Macaca mulatta: one gene and its partners. The protein of the gene in region 6 interacts with the protein of the main gene of each other region in a pairwise test. Links are inferred from orthologs where the notes say so. Each region holds a gene or a part of one and is shown on either strand. Other genes may lie near its edges. The genes, in order: UBXN6, EIF4A2, PSMD9, WDFY3, POLI, TRIM39 and UBE2D4.

The links.
Region 1: the proteins of TRIM39 (region 6) and UBXN6 interact in binary tests that used the Homo sapiens proteins (3 or more experiments, as listed by UniProt). The link is inferred for Macaca mulatta from reciprocal best matches to the Homo sapiens genes TRIM39 and UBXN6.
Region 2: the proteins of TRIM39 (region 6) and EIF4A2 interact in binary tests that used the Homo sapiens proteins (3 or more experiments, as listed by UniProt). The two-hybrid records come from large-scale screens. The link is inferred for Macaca mulatta from reciprocal best matches to the Homo sapiens genes TRIM39 and EIF4A2.
Region 3: the proteins of TRIM39 (region 6) and PSMD9 interact in binary tests that used the Homo sapiens proteins (3 or more experiments, as listed by UniProt). The two-hybrid records come from large-scale screens. The link is inferred for Macaca mulatta from reciprocal best matches to the Homo sapiens genes TRIM39 and PSMD9.
Region 4: the proteins of TRIM39 (region 6) and WDFY3 interact in binary tests that used the Homo sapiens proteins (3 or more experiments, as listed by UniProt). The two-hybrid records come from large-scale screens. The link is inferred for Macaca mulatta from reciprocal best matches to the Homo sapiens genes TRIM39 and WDFY3.
Region 5: the proteins of TRIM39 (region 6) and POLI interact in binary tests that used the Homo sapiens proteins (3 or more experiments, as listed by UniProt). The two-hybrid records come from large-scale screens. The link is inferred for Macaca mulatta from reciprocal best matches to the Homo sapiens genes TRIM39 and POLI.
Region 7: the proteins of TRIM39 (region 6) and UBE2D4 interact in binary tests that used the Homo sapiens proteins (3 or more experiments, as listed by UniProt). The link is inferred for Macaca mulatta from reciprocal best matches to the Homo sapiens genes TRIM39 and UBE2D4.

Annotation. Positions count from the first base shown.
Region 1 is NC_133424.1:5,289,015-5,293,253, forward strand, and holds the start of UBXN6 (UBX domain-containing protein 6), read right to left. Parts: upstream 2,801-4,239; 5' UTR 2,748-2,800; coding exon 2,665-2,747; intron 2,403-2,664; exon of another isoform or gene 1,815-2,402; intron 1-1,814. UniProt on the Homo sapiens protein: May negatively regulate the ATPase activity of VCP, an ATP-driven segregase that associates with different cofactors to control a wide variety of cellular processes.
Region 2 is NC_133407.1:11,824,738-11,828,536, reverse strand, and holds the end of EIF4A2 (eukaryotic initiation factor 4A-II), read left to right. Parts: coding exon 1-68; intron 69-93; exon of another isoform or gene 94-271; intron 272-529; coding exon 530-667; intron 668-702; exon of another isoform or gene 703-834; intron 835-893; coding exon 894-983; intron 984-1,010; exon of another isoform or gene 1,011-1,149; intron 1,150-1,203; coding exon 1,204-1,283; intron 1,284-1,709; exon of another isoform or gene 1,710-1,820; intron 1,821-2,523; coding exon 2,524-2,668; 3' UTR 2,669-3,299; downstream 3,300-3,799. Other genes in the region: RFC4 (replication factor C subunit 4), read right to left, coding at 3,368-3,463, 3,541-3,654, 3,725-3,799. UniProt on the Homo sapiens protein: ATP-dependent RNA helicase which is a subunit of the eIF4F complex involved in cap recognition and is required for mRNA binding to ribosome.
Region 3 is NC_133416.1:129,287,286-129,289,457, forward strand, and holds the end of PSMD9 (26S proteasome non-ATPase regulatory subunit 9), read left to right. Parts: intron 1-362; exon of another isoform or gene 363-879; coding exon 880-968; exon of another isoform or gene 969-1,025; intron 1,026-1,266; exon of another isoform or gene 1,267-1,305; coding exon 1,306-1,333; 3' UTR 1,334-1,672; downstream 1,673-2,172. UniProt on the Homo sapiens protein: Acts as a chaperone during the assembly of the 26S proteasome, specifically of the base subcomplex of the PA700/19S regulatory complex (RC).
Region 4 is NC_133410.1:48,985,240-48,988,739, forward strand, and holds part of WDFY3 (WD repeat and FYVE domain-containing protein 3), read left to right. Parts: intron 1-936; coding exon 937-1,164; intron 1,165-3,500. UniProt on the Homo sapiens protein: Required for selective macroautophagy (aggrephagy). Acts as an adapter protein by linking specific proteins destined for degradation to the core autophagic machinery members, such as the ATG5-ATG12-ATG16L E3-like ligase, SQSTM1 and LC3.
Region 5 is NC_133423.1:37,857,186-37,860,685, reverse strand, and holds part of POLI (DNA polymerase iota), read left to right. Parts: intron 1-1,039; coding exon 1,040-1,276; intron 1,277-3,201; coding exon 3,202-3,380; intron 3,381-3,500. UniProt on the Homo sapiens protein: Error-prone DNA polymerase specifically involved in DNA repair. Plays an important role in translesion synthesis, where the normal high-fidelity DNA polymerases cannot proceed and DNA synthesis stalls. Favors Hoogsteen base-pairing in the active site.
Region 6 is NC_133409.1:152,687,402-152,690,901, reverse strand, and holds part of TRIM39 (E3 ubiquitin-protein ligase TRIM39), read left to right. Parts: intron 1-11; coding exon 12-34; intron 35-611; coding exon 612-731; intron 732-1,777; coding exon 1,778-2,351; 3' UTR 2,352-3,500.
Region 7 is NC_133408.1:84,408,847-84,411,084, reverse strand, and holds the end of UBE2D4 (ubiquitin-conjugating enzyme E2 D4), read left to right. Parts: intron 1-827; coding exon 828-869; coding exon of another isoform or gene 870-873; exon of another isoform or gene 874-1,034; intron 1,035-1,274; coding exon 1,275-1,350; 3' UTR 1,351-1,738; downstream 1,739-2,238. UniProt on the Homo sapiens protein: Accepts ubiquitin from the E1 complex and catalyzes its covalent attachment to other proteins. In vitro able to promote polyubiquitination using all 7 ubiquitin Lys residues, but may prefer 'Lys-11' and 'Lys-48'-linked polyubiquitination.

The DNA of each region.
Region 1 (4,239 bases), on a different chromosome or scaffold from region 6:
AGGAAGTCCGGGCAATGTGCCCCATGCCACACCACCCTTGTGGCAGGACCCTGGGGTCAGCGGACAGCAGAACCAGCCTCGCCCTGGCCACTCCATGCCAGGCCCGGGGCTGTGCAAGTACCAAGAGCTCATGGACTCGCGGTTCCGCCCTGTTGAGCCCTACACCAAGGAGGGTTCCATAATCCACTTGGCACAGTGGCCTGGCAGAGAAGCCCTTTCTGCCAACCTGCTCGGACGCGTCTGTCTCGCCTGTGTCCTCTCGGGCCCCTCCCGTGAATCCAGGGACTGTGTCACTTTCCATGTCGTAAGTCTCTTAAAACTTCCTGGAGGCCAGGCTCTCAGTTCAAGCCCTGTACTCCTCTGGCTCTGCTTAGATACTCGGGCAGCCCTCCCTCCTCGTCTCGAGGCTTAGCTTCGTGCCCACCCCTGCCTATCTAGTCCTCCCACAGCGCAGCATCTTGGGTGGAAGAGGAGATGACTCATGAAGACCCATCCCAGCCCCATCCGATATCTAGGTCTTTCCAACAAAATGGCATTTCCCAGGGCACCTCACCCCAACCGGTCATGGACCCTGCCCGCCCTGGGCAGCCACAGGGACCCTTCTGCAACCTCAGCCAGGGAGCGTCAGCATCACTCCACTGCACGACGCCCCCCCACCACGAAATCCTAAAGCCTCCCTCGGCCGGAGAGCCCTTCCCGGCCTGGCCCACTGCCCTCCCCTGGCCTGGCTCCCCTGGGCTCCCCGCGGTTCTTCCCATACCCCAGCTGCTCCCCGCCGCAAGGCCCTGCACTGTCTGCGCCTTCTGCCCACAGTGTTCTCCTGCGGGGAGGGAGGAGGACAGGGGATCTGGAAAGGGCTAGAGCTGCCACAGGGAGAGAAGGAGGGGGCTGATTTCCCCACGGCTGAGTCTCTCTGTGTCCTGGGAGAGGCCTTCCCAAACCACCTGATGGCGTCTGCTCACCCTCCTTCAAGGCCCTGGGCACCGCCTGAGCCCTCCTCTGAGGTCTGTTGGTTTATTTGTCCATCAGCTCCCTCTAGAAGTTGAGCCCTGGGACAGCAGAGGCCTTCTCCTGTCCACCACTGCAGCCTAAAACAGGACTTGGTGCCCACACGCCCCACACACCCTGGATATCCAGTCTCGCTCCAGAGGGGACCTCCGCACCACTTCCCTTCCCGAGTCTCCCCTCTGACCTTCCCCTCTCCGCCAGGCTCTGGGCTGACCCAGCCATCACCCTGATGCCCTGCATCCTTCCTGTCACGCCCAGTCCTAACCCCACCCACTACTGGTTGAATCAATGAAGGGCTCCCCCCATTTGTCCACTTCTCTCCCTGACCCCCCTCCCTCTCTCACTCAGCCTTTGCTCTCCTGCTCTCCCCTAGGAACCCTGAATTCCTCGCTATGCCCCTACCTCCATCACCACCCCACCAACCCGTGATTCCCTGACCCCCACTTCCTGCCACCTCCCTGCCTCTCCTCCTACCCCCTCCCAGCCCCCACCCCTTCACAATCCCTTCCATTATTGCTTACAGACCCCTACCCTGGCTGCCTGGCTGACCTCCTTCCTCAGTCACTCTCCAACAGTCCCCACCACCCCCTGGCCAGCCAGCTCCCTGCAGCAGCCCCAGCTCTTCCAGCTTCCCTTTTCTCAGCCCAGCAGCCCTCAGCCTCGCACCCTCTCCAGCGCCACTTCTTTCCCGGCCCTCCACCTGCCCTCCCAGCTGGCTCAGCCCTGCTCAGGCCCTTCTCTCCAAGTCCTCCCTAGACGATCCCGAAGCCTGCCCGGCACTTATCTCCTTTCCCCTCCCCTCTCACCTCCATAATCCACTTGGCACAGTGACCTGGCAGAGAAGCCTCGTAGAGAAGGCCTTTCTCCCAACCTGCTCAGAGGCGTCAATCTCGCCGGTCTTCTCCTCTCAGGCCCCTCCCGTGTCACAGTCCATCTGTCAGAGTCCCTCACCTCCAGTCTCCTCACACACCTTCCTCAGCCCCTCCCAGGTGACTGAAGACGCTACCCACCCCGGCCTCCTTGGCCTTCCAGACTCTTCCTGGTCTCCCATCAGCCTCCCACGTGCTCCAGATCCCAAGTCCAGAACCCCTCTTCCCATGGATGCCTCAGAACAACTCTCCACCACCCCACCCCACAGTTGTGCGTCTTCCTCCAAGCTCAGCTCTCATCCATGGTCACCTAGATTCCCCCAAATCATCCCGGCCACTTAAGGACCAGCCGGGTCCCCAGACCTCTCCCTTATCACCCGTCTCAGAACTGATCATCCCTTTTTTCCCCCAGGGTCGCTCCACTGACCCCCAACTTCCTGCAGCCCCGCCGCCCTAATCCCCCGCCACTGCCTCGGACCCTCCTGCGGCCCCGCCCCCGAGACTTCCCCGCCCACCCGGCCCCCTTGCCCCGCCCCCTGCGCATGTTCCCCTCCCCCCGCCTCCCTTGCCCCGCCCCCGGCTCACACCCGCCCCCTCCTGCCCTGACCCCAGATCTCTCTCCCCTCCCCCTGACGCCCATCCTCGGCCCCGCTTGCCCCGCCCCCGGAGCCTCTCCCCCTCCCCTGACTCTCGGCTGCCGCTCCCCAGCCCCTCGCCCTCTCCGATCTCCCGAGCCGCCCGAGGCCCCAGACCCCTCTCCCCGGCCGCCCCTGCGTTCCTCACGCACCCTACGGACTCTGTGAGCTTCTGACCGGGTCCCGCGCTCTTGAACTTGATGTCGGCCTTGAACTCCTGAAAGAATTTCTTCATGGTGGCGGCTGGCCCGGCGGCGAGGGGCCGCGGGGGCGGGGGGCACAGGGCCCAGTCGGGGAGGGGCCGCCCGGGACCAGCCACCGGAAAAAAAATACCGCGCCGCCGGAAGTCCCGCCTTCCCGAGGCCGACCACGTGACAATAGGCTAGAAGTGCCTCTCTAGCGCTCGGTGCCTCGCTGGCCCAGGGCGGCCGCTCTGTACGCTGGAGCCGCATCTCTGTGGTTCTTCCGGACTCCGTTGCCAGGGCGACGAGTGCGCCTCTCGATTAGAGTCAGTGCCTTGCCTGGCAGCTTCCGTGGCGCTCCCCAAACGGTGACAGACGGTGACAGGACGACTGAACCTCGCAGAGAAAGCACTGGGCCCTGTCCCTTTCGCTGCTCAACCTAAGCTGGGCACGGTGGCTCACGCCTGCAATCACAGCACTTTCGGAGGCTCAAGCGGGAGGATTGCTTGATTCCAGAAGTTGGAGACCAGTCTGGGCAACATGGCAAAACCTCGTCTCTATTTAAAAAAAAAAAAAAAAGTAAAATAAAATAATAGCCGAGGGTGGTGGCGCGCACCTCTCAGCTACTTGGCAGGCGGAGGCGGGAGGACCACTTGAACCCAGGAGGTCGAGACTGCAGTGAGCTGTGATCAAGCCACCGCATTCCACCGCATTCCAGCCTGGGCAACAGAGAGAGACCCTGTCTCAAGCAAAACAAACAAAAATCCAACCTTCCCTGTCTCCCCAGAGCTTACGTGATAAAGTCCCAATTTAATGTGGGGTATTGGAGGCCCCCACCTTCTGGCCCTGTTTTGGTCCCTGAAGCCCCCCGCCCCACCCCACCAACACCACCACCACCACCACCACCACTTACCCTAGGTAGAAGCTGTTTAAGAGGATGCATCCAATTGGGACCTGGGGATCCACTTTGGTGAACAAGACAGAGAAACCAGTTAATAGTGGCGTACTTTGGGCTGTGCGATTCGCAAAGAAGATACACAAACTGACAGTTAAAACAAGCCTCCAAAAAAGGGAGTTGGGGGTCAGACGTGGTGGCTCATGCCTATAATGCCAGCACTTTGGGAGGCCGAGGCCGGCGGATCATTTGAGGTCAGGAGTTTGAGACCAGCCTGGCCAACATTGTGAAACCCTGTCTCTACCGGCGCCGGTAATCCCAGCTACTTGGGAGGCTGAGGCAGGAGAATCGCTTGAGCCCGGGAGGTGGTGGTTGCAGTGAGCGGAGATCTCACCACTGCACTTCAGCCTGGGCAACAGAGGGAGACTGTGCCTCAAAAAAACAAAAACAAAAACAAAACAAAACAAAACAAAAAAGGAGTTGGAATGAGATACACAAAGACTGAGGGAGGAGAGGCCTCCAGGTAAGGAAACAGCCCACTCTAAGACTGAAATTGAAATAACATGGGTTGGACAAGTGACTCAGGCCTGCAGTCCCAACATTTCGGGAGGCCAAGGTAGGAGGATTGCTTTAGCCCAGGAGTTTGAGGC
Region 2 (3,799 bases), on a different chromosome or scaffold from region 6:
TTCTGGTGAAAAAGGAAGAATTGACCCTTGAAGGAATCAAACAGTTTTATATTAATGTTGAGAGAGAGGTAACTGATTGTTAGACATTATTTTACCTTCTTGTATAAGCACTGTGCTAAAATTGCAGACACTAGGACTATGTCTTGGTTTTTGCAATAATGCTAGCAGAGTACACACAAGAAGAAAAGTAACAGCACTAGATTGTAAAGACTGGGATGGACCTCTTTCTTAATGTCCAATGTCCTTTGTCTTAAGATTTGGTGCAATATCTCATTAGACCTGATAGAATGAAGTTAATTTTTATAATTTCTACGTTTTGAGACTGGCTAAGAGGGGCCAATTTTGGTATTTTGGGTAGAGACAGGGTTTCACTATCTGGAAACTGGTTGGAACTCCTGGGCTCAAGTGTTGGGATCCCGAAGTGCTGGGATTATGGGCATAAGCACTGTGCCTGGCCCAGAATGTATTTTTAACTGAAGAAAGTTGGAAAAGCTAAATGACTGTTAACTTTCTCTTCTAAACATTATAGGAATGGAAGTTGGATACACTTTGTGACTTGTACGAGACACTGACCATTACGCAAGCTGTTATTTTTCTCAATACAAGGCGCAAGGTGGACTGGCTGACTGAGAAAATGCATGCCAGAGACTTCACAGTTTCTGCTCTGGTAAGAGGTGTTCTAAAATGTCTGGATTTCCACTAAAGCAGGATTCAGACTACAATATAGCTGCTAAGTGCTGTGTTGTCGTTCCCCCTGCTCAAAATAAAGTTGTTTCTTAACTATACCTGTCTGCTATATCCCTGTAGCAGCCAGGGACGCTTGGTCTCATACATGTTGATTAAAATTACTGACCTGACTGGTGATTCTTGAATTAAGGTTTATTAATTTGCAGCATGGTGACATGGACCAGAAGGAGAGAGATGTTATCATGAGGGAATTCCGGTCAGGGTCAAGTCGTGTTCTGATCACTACTGACTTGTTGGTAAGTCTCTTAATGCTTTTTAAAAATCTACCAAAAGTTAGCTTTTTGGGGGGAAGGTTTTTAAGTAACCTTTGCCAGCTTGGGCTATTTGGAAGAGTAAAAGGACCACACTCCACAGTGGGCTATACCACTTAGTATAGTTCGCTACTATTTTGTGGCCTACATGACAGGTACCATGTTTTTTGAATTAGAATTTTTAACATATGCCATTGTGTTTCAGGCTCGCGGGATTGATGTGCAACAAGTGTCTTTGGTTATAAATTATGATCTACCTACCAATCGTGAAAACTATATTCACAGGTGAGAAGCCAGCATCTTGGATGTATTGAAAAAAAATTCATACATTTTTCTACTGTGATTTGTATGAAAGGTAACATCAAATCAAGGAATAGATTCAGTCAAGTCAGTAGTGTTCAGTAAGATGATGTAATTTGTACTAGGGGAAGGCTGACGAGAACAAAGTGGGAAAACTTGTAAACATTGCTCAGATTGTGGGCATAGGTTTTTTTTTCCCCCGCAATTGTTGGTCTTAGCTTATGCTTGAGCTTTTAGTGATGTTCTTGTGTCCATGTGCTTTTTCTTGATTTTTTCCATAGTTGGGATTTTCTTGGTGTCGCCTGGTAGCAATTTGAGTGAACCCTGGTTTAGTTATAGTGGCTTTATCCCTAAATAAATTGAATCGTACTTTGTTATGTGATGTAAAAAAAGACTTTTTAAAAAATACAGGAGTCGATAGCAGCAGTTGATGACGAGATGGCACTCAGAAACGGCGTTGACGTAATTTAGGACGTGGAATCATAAGCGAAACAGCACACTGTTTGAATAAAGAGCGAGTCGGTATTTATATTTGTTTTTCTTTTGTCATGATTATTTATTTTAAGTTGCTCCAGCTGAGGCATCTTTTGTATCAGTATTTCTGTTAGGGAACTTTTCTTACTAGGTGGTTTGTATTGTCTGGTTTCTAACATGAAGGTAGCTGTTTGGCGGTTAAACACGTTTTGAGTAATTTGAGTTACAACGTGTGAAACTGAGCAAAAAAGCAGTGATAAGTTTGGGTTACCATACCAAATATTTGTTTTCCCACTGGAAAAAAGTAAGTTTTAGAAAATAGTTAACCTTTGCAGCATTTGTTTACAGTTTACAGTTCCAGAAGTGCGTCGAAATGGATTACATAACTGCTCTTTTATTCCTGGTGTTTACATCTGTCCCAGGCTGACACCTGCTCTTGGCTGGCCCACTTTGGTATGGGCTTTAATTTCACTACCCCAAACACAATACTGTCATCTGCTTTATAATAATGCTCAAGATGCCTGATAAAAATCTCATTTTGCAGCCAGACAAGCCTTGAATCCTTTTGGCACTAACTGCAAAGGAAGATTTTTTTCTCTAGATATGCATTAGCAGCTAGTGCTCCAGTTAGAAGCACGAACTATAACCTTGATAAGTAAACAGCAGCTGATGGTTAACAAGTGGATCGTCATGTTCAGTAGTTCATAAATTATGTGAGAAGTAACATTCTGATTGTTTTTTTCTTACACAGAATTGGCAGAGGGGGTCGATTTGGGAGGAAAGGTGTGGCTATAAACTTTGTTACTGAAGAAGACAAGAGGATTCTTCGTGACATTGAGACTTTCTACAATACTACAGTGGAGGAGATGCCCATGAATGTGGCTGACCTTATTTAATTCCTGGGATGAGAGTTTTGGATGCAGTGCTCGCTGTTGCTGAATAGGCGATCACAACGTGCATTGTGCTTCTTTCTTTGGGAATATTTGAATCTTGTCTCAATGCTCATAACGGATCAGAAATACAGATTTTGATAGCAAAGCGACATTAGTCGTGAGCTCTTGTGAGGAAAGTCATTGGCTTTATCCTCTTTAGAGTTAGACTGTTGGGGTGGGTATAAAAGATGGGGTCTGTAAAACCTTTCTTTCTTAGAAATTTATTTCCTAGTTCTGTAGAAATGGTTGTATTAGATGTTCTCTATCATTTAATAATATACTTGTGGACTAAAAGATATAAGTGCTGTATAAAATCAGCCAATTATGTTAAACTAGCATATCTGCCTTTATTGTGTTTGTCATTAGCCTGAGTAGAAAGGCCTTTAAAATTTTTTTAGAAAGCATTTGAATGCATTTTGTTTGGTATTGTATTTATTCAATAAAGTATTTAATTAGTGCTAAGTGTGAACTGGACCCTGTTGCTAAGCCCCAGCAAGCAATCATCCTAGGTAGGGTTTAATCCCCAGTAAAATTGCCATATTGCACATGTCTTAATGAAGTTTGAATGTTAAATAAATTGTATATTCACTTTAAAGGTGCTTTTGGTCATTTTTATTACAACCCCCTTATTTACAAAACCCCACATCAAAATATATTCACTTTTTAACAATTCTGAGATAATTGCTGCATCACAGTTGCACAAAGGCTGATAAGTTGCAAATGTTCATCAGCACCATCTGCTAGGCATTTGTCAACTTCCTACAAGAAAAATTTAAGAAATTAGCATCCTTCAGGTAGTTAAATGTTTAATTGACATGTGCAAAGTACCTACTTACGGCAAGTTTTTCTGTAATAATGGACTTCTGTTTATCAGATAAATTATTCTCTACAACCACATCATGGAGTTGACTGACGAACTGAGTTGCTGCATGACCCTCATCTATTAAGTCCTATTAAAAAAAAAACTTTTGGTATGATCATTTAATATTCCTTTCCCCAAAGTTAGTAAGCTGACTTTACCTTGACCACAGCTTCTAGTTTGTCAAAAGAGCCACTCTGACAGGCAGCAAATACTCCATCAATTTTCTCAGCTGG
Region 3 (2,172 bases), on a different chromosome or scaffold from region 6:
CATCTTCCTCTTATTCCAAAGGACTAATCCTCTCTGGATGTAACCACTCGTAACAAGTTTTTCCATGTTCTTCCAGAAAACTTCACATGCTAGAGCAACACAGGTGTCCTTTTAGAAAATATTATTGGCCGGGCGCGGTGGCTCACGCCTGTAATCCCAGCACTTTGGGAGGCCGAGGCGGGCGGATGACCTGAGATCAGGAGTTCTGAGACCATCCTGGCCAAACATAGTGAAACCCCATCTCTACTAAAAATATAAAAATTAGCCAGGTGTGGTGGCGGGCGCCTGTAGTCCCAGCTACTTGGGAGGCTGAGGCACGAGAATTGCTGGAACCTGGGAAGCAGAGGTTGCAGTGAGCCAAGATTGCGCCACTGCACTCCAGCCTGGGTGATAGAGTGAGACTCTGTCTCAAAAAGAAGGAAAGAAAGAAAGAAAATAAAATGCTATCAAATAGGTTCATACTTTGGTGGGGTTTTTGTTTTGTTTTGACTAAAACCCTTCATTCTCTGTACTGTATTTGAACAATACCTATTGATGGACATTTCTGATGTTCTCAGTTTTTGGATTTCTACACAGCCCTGGAATGAACACTTCATTTGTATGTCATCTTGTAATTGTGTACTATGTACCTTGGACATACCTTTTAAAAATTGTTGGTGGGGGGACACGTATTTTTTGAGGAAGATGGTACTAAGGTCAGCACCCTGGCTGCCCTGAGAGCGCAGTGCCATGTTCCCTACCTTCTCGCCAACCACAGGATTATGCTGAAAATGAAAATCTTTACCAATTTGATAGGCAAAAAATGGGATCTCAGCATTTTAGCCTGTAACTGTGAGTACTAACAAGGCTGAACACAAAACGAGCTTATTTTCTTTTCAGAAGCCCCTGAATGTGACGGTGATCCGCAGCGGGGAGAAACACCAGCTTAGACTTGTTCCAACACGTTGGGCAGGAAAAGGACTGCTGGGGTAAAGTGTCTGTTTCTGTTCATTCTCACTGGGGCATCATTTGAGTGTTTGTTAAACGTGAAGCTGGAGGGGAAGGCTGGGGAGACATTGGGGAATAATGGGAATCCCCAGTTCGTTTGGAAACTGCAGATAAATCCTCGTGGTAGGAACGAGACTACAGCTGTAGAAGCAGAGGGAGCCCCAGTGTCTCTCCTGGGACTCTCCGGTTCATTCATGCACTGGGCATTTGATTTAAAAGAATGAAAGAACATTGGTGAAAAGGTCAGAAGGGCTCGGCCTCTGACCTTCCTATAGGGAGCCTCCAAACTTACGCCATTCCTTTTCTTCTTTCTTCCAGGTGCAACATTATTCCTCTGCAAAGATGATTGTCCCTGAGGAACAGTAACAGGAAAGCATCTTCCCTTGCCCTGGACTTGGGTCTAGGGATTTCCTCCTTGTCTTCTCTCCCTGAAGCATAAGGATCTGGAAGAGGCTTGTAGCCTGAACTTCTGGGTGGTGGCAGTGCTGTGGCCCACTAGTGTAATCTCCCTGGATTAAGACATTCTTAAAAACTTATGCTTGGCCTCTTTCGCAAATTAGGCCACGGCCCTGAATAGGAATTCCCTAAATAGGAACTGTGGGCAAGTGGGCGGAAGTTATTCCGGCAGGTACTGGTGTGATGATGATGATTATTTTTAATAAAGAGTTTTACAGTGCTGATATGACCCTGTTGTCACCCCAACTGAATTTCTTATGACCCTCTCAAACCAAAGCTCAGAAGGGGTCAGAAGAGCTTCATAGAAAGTTGAGCAAAACAAGCTAGCAATTGTGAAGTCCGGCTTTGACCAACATATTTCTTTGCACTGAGGCCTTGCTGCTGTGGATACGGAAATTGCTAAGTAGTTCCATGCTTCCTCAGCAGCTGGGCCGCTAGGGCCATAGTAGCTCCCTTTGGAGAACAGGGAAAGCCTGGAGGTTCCCCAGGTGGCCCAGTGTGGTGTCGTGTCAGCTTCCTCTTTAGGAGGAAGCAAGCTCTCCAGAGGGCAGGAAGCTCCTTTCAATTTGGTAATAAGAACCCCTCCATTTTGTTTTTTGGAGAAAAGGTCCTGCTTTGTCACCCAGACTGGAGTGCAGTGTTGTGATAAAGGTTCACGGAAGCCTTGACCCTCTGGGCACTACCTCGGCCACCCAAGTATCTGGGACCACAGGCGTGCACCACCATGCA
Region 4 (3,500 bases), on a different chromosome or scaffold from region 6:
AAGCTTATCTTAAATGTTTTATTCTCAGATTAGCTATTCTGGATCTATTAAAGGTTTCTGAATGGTTAACTGCTAATATTTTATGGATATCACACTAGATCCTTAGTTTCCCCAACCAAAGAACATATAAGTACTACTGTGATAGGTAAATTTTTAATTATTTACTCAGTAATCTTTACTGACAGTTATGTTTTAGAAATCTTTATTTTTAGATTTAAATTGTGTATACTTACATTCCATGAATCGTTGGGCAAGTTATTTATCATTGTGTACTGTTGAAATGTTACATATTTGTCATTTGATAGACAAGAAGAACTTGTACTGTGACATAATTTCCTTTTAAGTAAAATGGTTTGAATCTATCCCAGTGGCCAGGAGAAAATGGTTTCTCTTTGATTTTTGTATGAATGTCAAGTTTCCTCTTAGTGCTGCATGTTTATATTCTTCATCTAAAATCTTTGGAAATGTTTACCTAGTTCACCAGTAATCAAGCCTGTTGGCACTTTTTCTTCATCTGATTTCCTAGACTATCCCCCATACATGTTGTGGTAGCTATTTTCCAGTTTGGTGTATCTTTAAATTACCATATGTATTTATTAGCGCACATAGGGCTAACCATTTCAATATATTTTCATCATAATATTACTGTCTTTCCTGTGCCAGATAAACAGACTTCTTTGAACTCTCTGTTCCACTGTATTGCACGCTCTACCCTATACATGTCTGTCATTTACTTGATGCTTTAAGAAGTCCACCTTCTACAACAAACCCGCTTACTTTAACCATAAACGAATGTAATTTTACTTTTATAGGATTAACTGAAATGGTGTGGATTGTGTTTGTTTCCAAGTAATAACTTGATTTTCAGTGACTTGTAGACTTGTTACTGTTACTCCTGCTTTTGCTTGAAAACCGACCTGGACTCTTTCCTGTCAGCGTCAGCAGAATGCCCTGAAGTACGTGACGGAAGAGTGGTGCCAGATCGAGTGCGAGCTGTTGCGGGAGCGGGGGCTGTGGGGCCCTCCCATCGGCTCCCACCTGGACAAGTGGATGCTGGAGATGACAGAAGGGCCCTGCAGGATGAGGAAAAAGATGGTGCGAAACGATATGTTTTATAACCATTACCCTTACGTGCCAGAAACTGAACAAGAGACAAATGTGGCGGTGAGTATGCAGAATTCAATGATCACACTGGCTCTTTCAAGTTTTTATTTTCCTTTGTAAGCATTTTTTCTCTATTAAGTCAGTTACCTCAAATAGCTCATTTAAAAAATTCAACAAACTCCATTGAATTGATAACTTCAGAGTGGAGGTGGAGTGAAAAGATGCAACAGTGCAAGAAGGAGACATCATGATAAAGAGGTTTATATCAGAGACTCCAGACCCAGACTGCCCAAATTTAAGACCTGACTCCACCACTTTGCTATGGGTTACGGGTCATTAAACCTCTCCGGGTTTTCGTTTTGTTATGCCTGAATTTGAGCAAATAATGGTTCCACCTCATAGGACTATTGGGAGGATTAAGTTCATTAAAATTAGTTAAGTGTTTAAAATAGTGTCTGGTCCAGAATAAGCACTATATATTAGAACACATGAATCTTCTAAGTAGCTCTGATCATATAAGGTGAGGCAGCTTGAATTGTTCCAATGCCTCTTGGTTTTCTCTGACGACCACCCTAGCTCCATTTATCTTGTACTGATTGGTTTAACCTCAGTCCTGATGCTAATGTAGATCTTAGCATCAACCTAAGTGTCCATCAGCAGAGTAACATAAATAAAATATGCTATGTTTACATAATGGAATAGTATTCAGCCTTAAAAAAATAAGGAAAGCCTGTCATTTGTAACAGTGTATATGAACCTGGAGAACATTATGTTACATGAAATAAGCAAGGTGCAGAAGGACAAATACTACATGATCCATCTCACTTATATGGGGCATCTAAAACAATCAAACTCAGAAGCAAAGAATAGAATGAAGGTTTCCAGAGGCTGAGAAATGAGGGGAATAGGGAGATGTTGGTCAAAGGTTACAGTTTCAGATAAACGGGAGGAATACATTTTTTTGAGATCTATTACATTCCTAGTGACTATAATTGATAATAATGTATTGTACATTTCAAAATTGCTAAGAGAGTACATTTCAAATGTTCTTGGCGCAAAAATTGTTAAGTATTTGAGGTGCTGAATATGTTAATTAGCTTGATTTAATCATTCAAACCATATACATATAACATCACTTTGTATACCATAAACAATTATAATTTGTCAATTAACAGTAAAATTTCTAAAATAGTAATATATGTAGGTCTTAGCTCCTGCTGATAGTTATTAAAAGTTTAGAAGATAGCTCCCTAAAGTCTGCTTTTCTCAAAGCTATTCAATTCTGTCAAGAATGCCATACTTGATGCAGCTGTGCCTTAAAGCACTATAATTTCTAATTCTGGAGCACTGTAAAAAAGGTAATCTACCCATATTTTTGCAGCCTGTTACTAGCACTTACTTTTATAAGAGCAAAGCAACAATATGATCTTTTAATTGTTAATCTTTTTTCCTTAACAATCTATTAAGAATTTAAGGCATTAGCAGTTTGATAAAGTATTTCTTATTGAGTCAATGCTTAAATTGAATCCATTCAAGAATACTAAAATATAAATATGCTTTCCCAAATATATGACCAACTCACTGTTTAGATTTAACTGAGGCATATACTTTTGAATTATTTTTACAATAACCATAATATTTTTATCTGTGCTCCTTTCCTTCCTTGTAATAATGTCATTTGTTTACAAAAGTGTATTTTAACTTCTATATCAGATAAAAACAAAGTACCCTATTAAGAGTTCACACCTACAACCGTAGTATCATCAGCATTTTACCTAGGCAAAGGAATTCACCAGCCTGTGAAATCGAAACAGACACTGTCATAAATAAGTATGTACCAGATGGAACTTATGTATTTAACAAGTGGGTTACATATTGGAAAATACAAGACAGTTGAGAAATGTTGGAGATACTTTCACCTAAAAGGAAAAAGCAGTCAGGAAGGAGAGACAGTTACAGAATATAGAATTCATGCTGCATAGTTCATGCACAAATCAAGGTCAAGATTAATCTGCTATGGTGTAATTTTCTGAAATAATTTTTATTTTAGTTTTAGTAGTTCACATATTTTGTAAATTTGAAATGCCATTAAATGTCCACTTGTATCTTTTGGAATATGCATCTGGCAGTGTTAAAAACAAATTTTCAAAAAGTTATAATATCTATTATCCCACTGAATTCTACCATCAAATCAAAAAAGAAGAGCTAATATTTACAGAGCACAATGAGCTAGATCAAGCTTCTCCAATCCGAGGCCCAAGGGTCACATATAGCCCAGGATGGCTTTGAATGTGACCCAACACAAATTCATACACTTTCTTAAAACATAATGAGACTTTTGCCAGGCACGGTGGCCCACACCTGTAATCCCAGCATTTTGGGAAGCCGAGGCAGGC
Region 5 (3,500 bases), on a different chromosome or scaffold from region 6:
GCAAATGGCAGACATCCTGACATTTCATCTCTAAATACTTTTAGTGTGAATCTCTTTGAGGTTAGGATGGTTTCATGTAATTCCAACACTGTTTAACACCTAAAGCAAATTTATTTTTATATAATTTTCTTACACTTTTCATAAAAGAGCTCTAAAACTATGTACAGGTCAGAGATTGTTTTCAGCAGCATATATAGTTAGTGCATGGTTAAGATTTAGATCTTTAAAGCATAATGTTAGCTTTCTTGTTATATAATAGTACTTTTATGCTTACTTACAGGTAAATATGAGTAAAAGTTTTGTTAATGTCAGTAGGAATGTTTTTATGAGATCAGTTTCCATAATGTGTTAATTATTAAGCACTCCCAGTATACAGTCACTATCACAGGCTGTTGGAATTTGCTTATTGAATTTGTTTACAGTATTCCTATGAAGCATGAAAGAGATTAGTCAAGTGGATAACAGGGTGGCAGTGGTCTCTTAGTCCATTTAGTGTTGCTTTAACAGAATACCTGAGACTCGGTAATTTACAAAGAAAAAAAGGTTCATTTGGTTCATGATTCTTGTGGCTGGAAAAGTCAAGATTAGGCCTCTGCATCTGGTGAGGGTCTCAGGCTGTTTCGCCTCATGGTGGAAGGCAAAGGGGAGCCAGTGTGTACAGAGATCACATGGTGAGAGAGGAAGCAAGGGCTGGGGGAGGTGCTAGGCTCTTTTAACAACCAGCTGTCTCTGGAGCTAATACAGTGAGAAACTTACTCATCCCTGAGGGAGGGCATTAATCTGTTCATGAGGGATCCACCCCTGTGATCCCAACACCTCCCATTTGACCCCACCTCCAACATTAGGGATCAAATTACAACATGAGGTTTGGAGGGGACAAACATTGCAACCATACCAGGTGGTGGTGGTGGTGGTGGTGGTGGTGGTGGTGGTGGTTGGATATAGACTAAGCCTTCTACCTTTTAAAAATTATTTTGTAAAAAACAAAATTTTAAAGTTTTTTTCTTGTGACTTTGAATGACATTTGTTGTTTTTAAAGCTATAAACCTGCATGACATCTTGCACATCAGACTACTTATTGGATCTCAGATTGCAGCAGAGATGCGGGAAGCCATGTATAATCACTTGGGGCTCACTGGCTGTGCTGGAGTGGCTTCTAATAAACTGTTGGCAAAATTAGTTTCTGGTGTCTTTAAACCAAATCAACAAACAGTCTTATTACCGGAAAGTTGTCAACATCTTATTCTTAGTTTGAATCACATAAAGGAAATACCTGGTAAGACAAATATCTTTGAAAAGTACATATATGTCTTATTATATTTCTTTAATTTTAAAATTATAGGTACAGTGTAATTAATTCTTAGGTAGAGGTGTATGTGAGTGTGTGCATGTATGTGTGTGTATACTTGGTTCCTGGAAAAAACTAACAAAAACCATAATGTTTTCTGAAGCAAATTTGGATTAAGAAATATGTGAAAGTACTTTTCTTATTTTATCTACTTTGGATGGTTAGAATATGGTCATAAAAGTTATAGCCTAGAAACATACGGTCTTTATTTCCAGTCCCTGGGTCATACTCTTATACTGTACATTGCCTCTAGAGAGGGGAGTTTGTCTTTTACTAAGTCTCTTTTGGGATTATATATAAAATATTAAGGCTACAATGGACTTTCCAAAACATCTAGGTTCCTCAGTTTAAAGATGAGGAAACTGATTTCCATGAGGAGTTTGGTGACCTATTTAGGTCATGGTGCAAGTTTGTTTCTTTGCAGATCAAATACCCAAGTTTTTATAGACCGTTGATAATGGATATGTTGAACTACATTTCTGTGGTATTGCTGGGGAATAAGATGTTATAAAAGAGTTCTGTGGAAGTGAATTTCTAATACCTCTGAAACTTAGATGTCAAACTTCACATTTTTAACTGATACTTGTGTGATTCCAAAATGTATTATACACTGCCTTGCCTTCCTTAGTATAGTATAACTATAATTTGAAATTTTGTGGATGACTTTGGTTCTGCCTTCTGAAGAACAATGTCAGGTTGTAATAAATTGAGGACTATATACTGGTGCAAAACATTATTACTTGGCTTTACTTTTGAGTTCTTGTAACTTTTTTTTTTTTTTTTAAACAGGCTTTCTGCTTTCTCACTTATTTCCAAATTGCCAGCCGCCTTTTATTTTTGCGTGAAAAATCTGTCACTCTCATAATTCCCCCTACACAGCCATTTCCTCCAACTTAGGCTTTTCTTGTGCAAGAAAATCAGATAACTGTGGAATTATTATTTTTAAATGAAAAGAATAAGGAGACACTAAATGGCCTGAGTGTTTTCTCTTGTGGATAAAGTATGACTGAATTTTAGTGCAAGAACTTTGTGACAGTTTTGCTAGCAAGATTTTTTGTTTTGTTTGCTTTCTGGCTCATAGCTGTATTCTGGATGGTAAATGTTAGATATGACTTATGGATAAATATATGGTGGTGCATATAGGAACCAGTTAGTTTACCTAATATGTACACTTAATTCATTTTAATTGCTCTAGTGGCAGCCTTTTTGTACATTAATAATCATGATTTCTGAATATTTCTGGAATTTTACATAACAGGTAGTAAAATTTTTATTTTAGTAAGACAGCATTTATTGACTGTCTCTGTATTCATTTTGTTTTGCTGCATTTTGTGAGGACTTCAAAGAGATGCATATAATTCAGGAGCCCTGAGTGGAAGAACAGCAACCTAGTTTGCAATGGAGTTTGATCTTTGCAAAATACAGTAGTCCCCCGTTATCTGCAGTTTCACTTTTCACAATTTCTGTTACCTGCAGTCAACTGTGGTTTGAAAATACTAAGATATTTTGAGAGAGGGAGGCAGAGACCACATTCACATAACTTGTATATAGTATATTGTTGTAGTTCTATTTTATTATTGTTAACCTCTTATTGTGCCTAATTTATAAATTAAACTTTATCATAGGTATATATGTAATGGAAAAAACAGTACTGTATGTATATAGGGTTTGATACTGTCCATGGTTTCAGGTATCCACTGAAGGTCTTAGAATGTATCCCCTGTGGATAAGGGGGGACTACTGTGTAAATTATAGAATTTAAAGATATGATTGATATATTTATAATATTTTAATTAGCTTTGTTTTAAGGAGAAAAGCTATTTTTAACTTTGTATGCACTTCTTTTTATTTAGGTATTGGCTATAAAACTGCCAAATGTCTTGAAGCACTGGGTATCAATAGTGTGCATGATCTCCAAACCTTTTCATCCAAAATTTTAGAAAAAGAATTAGGAATTTCACTTGCTCAGCGTATCCAGAAGCTCAGTTTTGGAGAGGATAACTCCCATGTGATACCCTCAGGACCACCGCAGGTACACGATGATATTTATTTTAATTAAGTACTGGTTATCACATTATTTGAGATAAAGATTTCTAGTTACAGTACCATGTTCTTACTATTCTAGTTTGCTTAGTATGTGATCTCTTTCCTA
Region 6 (3,500 bases):
CTTCCTTCTAGGATGTCAAAAGTACCCTGGAAAAGTAAGTGATTGTTGTATCTCTTTCAGTGAGTTAGGTCTTGGCTTAGAGAGGAGGGGTACAGTCAGGAGTTTGGGTTGGGGGTAAGGTTGGGAAAGTCATGTAGTGTCTGAGCAGGGTATGGGAGAATGTTCATTGTGCCCATGATGCCAGGTAGAGAACAAATTATTGGGAAGAATAATCCCTTTTCCCCTTTGAACATCAGGACTTCTTGAGAAGGAGAATGATAAGGCAGAACCAGATTCTACTTGTGCCAGTGGATGGAATTATGTCCGAACAAGATGGAAGGAGGAAGGGGTTGGGAGAACAGGGAGGGCAATCATCCATTTGCATGAAATATAGGAATATTCCTAGAAAGTTCAGAGGCTCACTCTCAAAATGAGGATCTGTCCACGGGATCATAAGGCTCTCCTTGGATTAGTAAAAGAAAGCAACAGGTGAGCTCTTCAGGGAGGAGGAAGAAAGTGGAAAGATGGAGAATTTTCATTTCTCCCTAAAGATGTTAACATCTGAATAGTCACTTGGCTGGAGCTTCTCCCTAACTCTGCCCTTTCTTCCCCTATCTCCCTATCCCTCCTAGATGTGAGAAGGTGAAGACCATGGAGGTGACTTCAGTATCCATAGAGCTGGAAAAGAACTTCAGCAATTTCCCCCGACAGTACTTTGCCCTAAGGAAAATCCTTAAACAGCTAATTGGTGAGTTGTTCCCAAAAGGAAACTAGAAGGAACCACTAGAGAGAAGAAAGCTTTTAGGTCCTGCCTTATATGGGTTTCAGTTATCCCATCTCTCACTTTTCTTACTCCCACCCACACCTACCCCTTTATCTGGCTTTTAGTCTCACCCTGAGTCACAGAACTTGGAGTGAGAGGAAGCCTTAAGTGTTACCTACTCTTAGGTGCATACTTTTTCAAGGCCCAGAAAGGTTAAATAATTTGCCAAAGATTGGGTAGAGTGATTATATAATTTACCACGTAAACTTGCATAACCTTGAATGGCCGGGCGCGGTGGCTCACATCTGTAATCCCAGCACTTTGGGAGGCCAAGACTGGTGGATCACTTGAGGTCAGGAGTTTGAGATCAGCCTGGCCAACATGGTGAAACCCCATCTCTACTAAAAATATAAAAATTAGCCAGATGTGGTAGTGGGCGCCTGTAATCCCAACTCCTCTGGAGGCTAAGGCAGGAGAACTGCTTGAACCTCGGAAGCAGAGGTTGCAGTGAGCTGAGATCGCACCACTGCACTCCAGACTAGAGGATAGAGTGAGACTCCATCTCAAAAAAAAAAAAGGAAAGAAAGAAACTGAAAGGGAGTGTCATTATATTAATGTGAATATGCAGGGATAAATAGTCATAAACCAGGCCAGTGACACATGGTCACCCTATCCCTAGACCATATGCTGTCTTGCTCTGCATCCTTCTTAACACTTTCTGTTTTTTCTGCCTCTCAGACTACACCTTGTACTTCTCTATGTAGTTAGATAAATGATAATGTCAGAGGGAGATGAAGAGAGGACCAGGCGGGAACCTACATTACCAGCCACTGCAGACTCAAGAGATTATTATCTGTTTACTTTAGGGTCAGTGTGAGAAGTGAGCCATTGCTTTCTCCCCTCCCTTAGGTGACACCATGGATTGAGAAAGTTAACCAAACCGTGTTGTTCTGGGGACCTTTAAGGGACCAGGCTCTGTAAAGGCAGGCTGGAAGAGTGAGGCAGGGGCATTTAGCTATTCCCATCCTCATCTAGCTCCCCACTCTGGCTTCTCCCGCCAGCGGATGTGACCCTGGACCCTGAGACAGCTCATCCTAACCTAGTCCTGTCGGAGGATCGTAAGAGCGTCAAGTTCGTGGAGACAAGACTCCGGGATCTCCCTGACACACCAAGGCGTTTCACCTTCTACCCTTGCGTCCTGGCTACTGAGGGTTTCACCTCAGGTCGACACTACTGGGAGGTGGAGGTGGGCGACAAGACCCACTGGGCAGTGGGTGTATGCCGGGACTCCGTGAGCCGAAAGGGCGAGTTGACTCCACTCCCTGAGACTGGCTACTGGCGGGTGCGGCTATGGAATGGGGACAAATATGCGGCCACCACCACACCTTTTACCCCTTTGCACATCAAAGTGAAACCCAAGCGGGTAGGCATATTCCTAGACTATGAGGCCGGCACACTGTCTTTCTACAATGTCACAGACCGCTCTCATATCTACACCTTCACTGATACTTTTACTGAGAAACTTTGGCCCCTCTTCTACCCAGGCATCCGGGCTGGACGGAAGAATGCTGCACCACTTACCATCAGGCCCCCAACAGATTGGGAGTGACAGGTTGGGATGTGGGAATAATTGGGGTGAGGCAGGGTCAAGTGCTACGGGCCTCCTTCCTGTGTCCTGCTGGAACGTCTTCGTGTCCACCTGGTTCCAGTCCTGAATCATCATGGAGAAACACCTCGGTTTCTAGGATGGTTTTGTGTGGAGAAGGAGGTAGGACTGGGCTGGATGAGACAGCACAGCTGTGACTCCCTCCTAACTGTCAGGGTGGGGAGCTGGTTCCCAGAGGATTGTCTACCCTGAAGTCCATCAGGTTTTCTGTTGCACAAGGACGGGTTGGAAAGGAAGGAGAGGCTTTTCCAGAAACAAAATCTGTGAGGGTCTGACTTGCTCAAACCAGAGGAGGAAACAGAAACCCCTGCACATCTTTTTAGGGAGTTCTTTGACCCAGGATAGTCTTGCTTCTTGAGGTAGATCACAGGGGTCTGTGTACCTCTAAATTCAAGAAAGATGAATGACAGATGCTCTCATGGGTCTAGATGTTGAGGAGTTTTTCTGAGGGCAGAGATTGGACATCAACAAGGCTAGAAGGAAGGTCAGGGAAGTGGGCTAAAGGAACAGATTCCTAGAGATTAATAAAGGGGAGGGAGGTTTCTTTGGTCTTCTATTTTAAAGGTAAGATTGCCATTATGGGTAGGATTGACCAGAGGTAGGAATGTGGGGAGAAGGAAAGGTTGAAAGGAAAGCAGAGAACCCAGGTCCCTGCCTCAGCATTCAGCAGAGTTGGCTTATTGCTTGCCTCTTTATACCAATAAGTCAGTCACTTTGCTCCTCTCCAGGGGCAAGGTGGAAGAGATCCTGCAAGACACATCTATCCTCTCACGGTGTTCCCAAGGGAACTTGGAAAGGAGAGTCAGGTATTAGAGGAAAGAGAAGGGTATTTGTATCCAAAGCCCTGGCCTTAAAGAATGTTACTAAGTAGCTACCCCCAAATTGTCAGCCTTGTTACCTGGCCAAGGTGTCCAAGCCAGAAAGGAAGAAAGGTAGTGGAGTCCTTCTCACTCTAAGACAGTGGGAGAGGGTGGTATATAGGGAAGGGCCAGATAGGCAACTTCCTTTGGCCTGTGTGCATCTGGCCTGGAACTGGTGTTAACAAAAGCCAGGTTTTTGCTTGTTTGTTGCCATCCCTCACCCTTTGCCATT
Region 7 (2,238 bases), on a different chromosome or scaffold from region 6:
TCAAATTATATTTTTCTTGAGACCTTTATAGATCTTATTATTTCCCTCACTGGAGTTTTCTCAATAACAATCAACATTTTTAATTGACTGGGGTTTAACTTGTGTTTATTTTAACACTTATTACGAGATATTTTAGACATACCAAAAGTGATTTTTTTCAGTGCCTCTTGTAACTATAAATCTCTCTAATCTATAGTCTCATAGCATCAAATCTTATTACAATGATGAGAGTAAGTGCACACACCTGCATAGTCCTCAATGGATGCCCGGCCTGCTCCACGTGCTTTGCATACAGACTTCTCTAGTCTTCCCCACAAGCACACAAGGCAGGTACTCTCACTATGGCAAGCAATCAAAAAAGCCAGGGCACAGAGGGGTGGAACAGCTGCTGAGGATGGTGCTGATGCACACTCCGGTAGGCAGATTCCCAAGCCCTTGTTCTGGAGTTTGTGTGCTGAACGTCCTGTAACTAGTACAAACTGACCTTTGTATGTCTCTTCTCTGTCCTCCCTGCATCCATATTGTAGGACAGGTGAAAGAAAGGGAAGAAGTCTTTGCATTATTAAATCTTCCACAGCAGATAGTTATGGAGAATCAACAGTTTTGGGTTTACACAATGAGGGATTCACCCAGCTGGGGGTTTACAGCCATGTCTGATGTGCTCCTGCTCCAGGGAAAGCCTTTATTCCACTTACCCATCAGCCCCAGATGTTTGACAAGCAGCAGCAGTAGCAGCATTCCCCACATCAGTCCTGTTCTCTGCACCACGTTGAAGAGAAGTGACCATTTCAAGTGAGGGTGTCACTCCCTCTGCTTTTTTATTCCAGGTACAACAGACTAGCGAGAGAGTGGACACAAAAATATGCTATGTAAGTGCCTCGGAGGTTTTACGTGAGACGTTGAAGCTGGCAGAGAGGTCTTCCCTTAAAACTTTGGGCTGTTGGCTGAGCCACTCAAAGAGCGTCATCTGTTCTTCAAACAAATGTTGGTCACCCACTCTCTCCAGCTGCAGCATGCTGGTGCCATTTTCAGCATTTATGGCTTTGACAGTGCCACCTCTTTGATGCCAAATCAGCAGCCATTGTTGTTATGATCTGCAGTCTTCCTGATGACACTGGAATCTCTCTCTCTGCCGCCTCAGTTTGTCTGTTGGTCTCTTGGGGGGCCAGGCCCTGCACGTCTCTCCTACCTGGCCTCAAATGGTGCTGCTGCCCATGATGGTACCACACCAGGGCCTCAGCCTGGCCCCTCACCACATACCCTTTGCCTTTTAGAACTCAGTGCCATCCTGGGTGCCCAGGTCAGAGCAGGCTTTCTTCACACCTCATCTGCTGCAGAACCACATCCTGAGGAGTCTCAGCTCATCCTGGAGGGAATTGGGAACAGTGTCACTGGGAAGTGAAGGCCTAGCCCTGCAGCTTCCACCAGTCTCCTCCTGCAGTGCCACATGCTGGCATTTCTCCCTTCACACCAAGAAGCAGCAAGTGGAAAATTTCAGGATACAAAGCACATAACACCCCATAAGAGATGACTGTGTTTTTAGAAGCAAGAGCAAAATTATGAAACCTCTAGAGATTTGGGTCATGTTACTCCATTTGATGAGAATTCTCACTATTCCCCGCTCCTCCCACTAGGAGCCTACACTAAGTCCAGGTGTGAGCCATTCACAGACTAGAACACAAGGAGGGAGAGAGACTCTTAAATGTAAATAAAAATGCAATTCACTCATAACTCTAAATGATAATTGACATTTCAGCCTCTTTCTTTTAGGCAGAACAGAAGATACCCACTTTTAACAGTTATTTGGAGCCTGAAATTACAATAGCCTATTAGGTGATCGGCTTTCTGTCTTGGCTTTCTGATGCAACATATTTTAAGGTTTGCCTTTAAAGCTTCGAGCCTTGAGACTAGGTTACTTAGGAAGAGGACAGAAAAGGATAGAGATTATTCTAATAAAACTTCCAAAGAGGGAAGAAAATTGAGGAGCTTCAGATCTCTAAAGCCAAATTCAACCTGATCTTTCTAGGTTGGTTATAAAGCTGGCCCACTCCCAGGAAGTGATGCTAAACTGTGACCAAATGGCCAGATGGGACTTTTGCAGGCTGATTGAAAGGAAGTCTACAGACCTAACACAAGCAGTCAGCCAAAGGTGACTGTGGGAGGTTGACTTCTTCCAGAAACTTCCAAGTTGTGGCTACAAATTTATTGCCAGATACTTTCCCATTGAGAATACTGAGG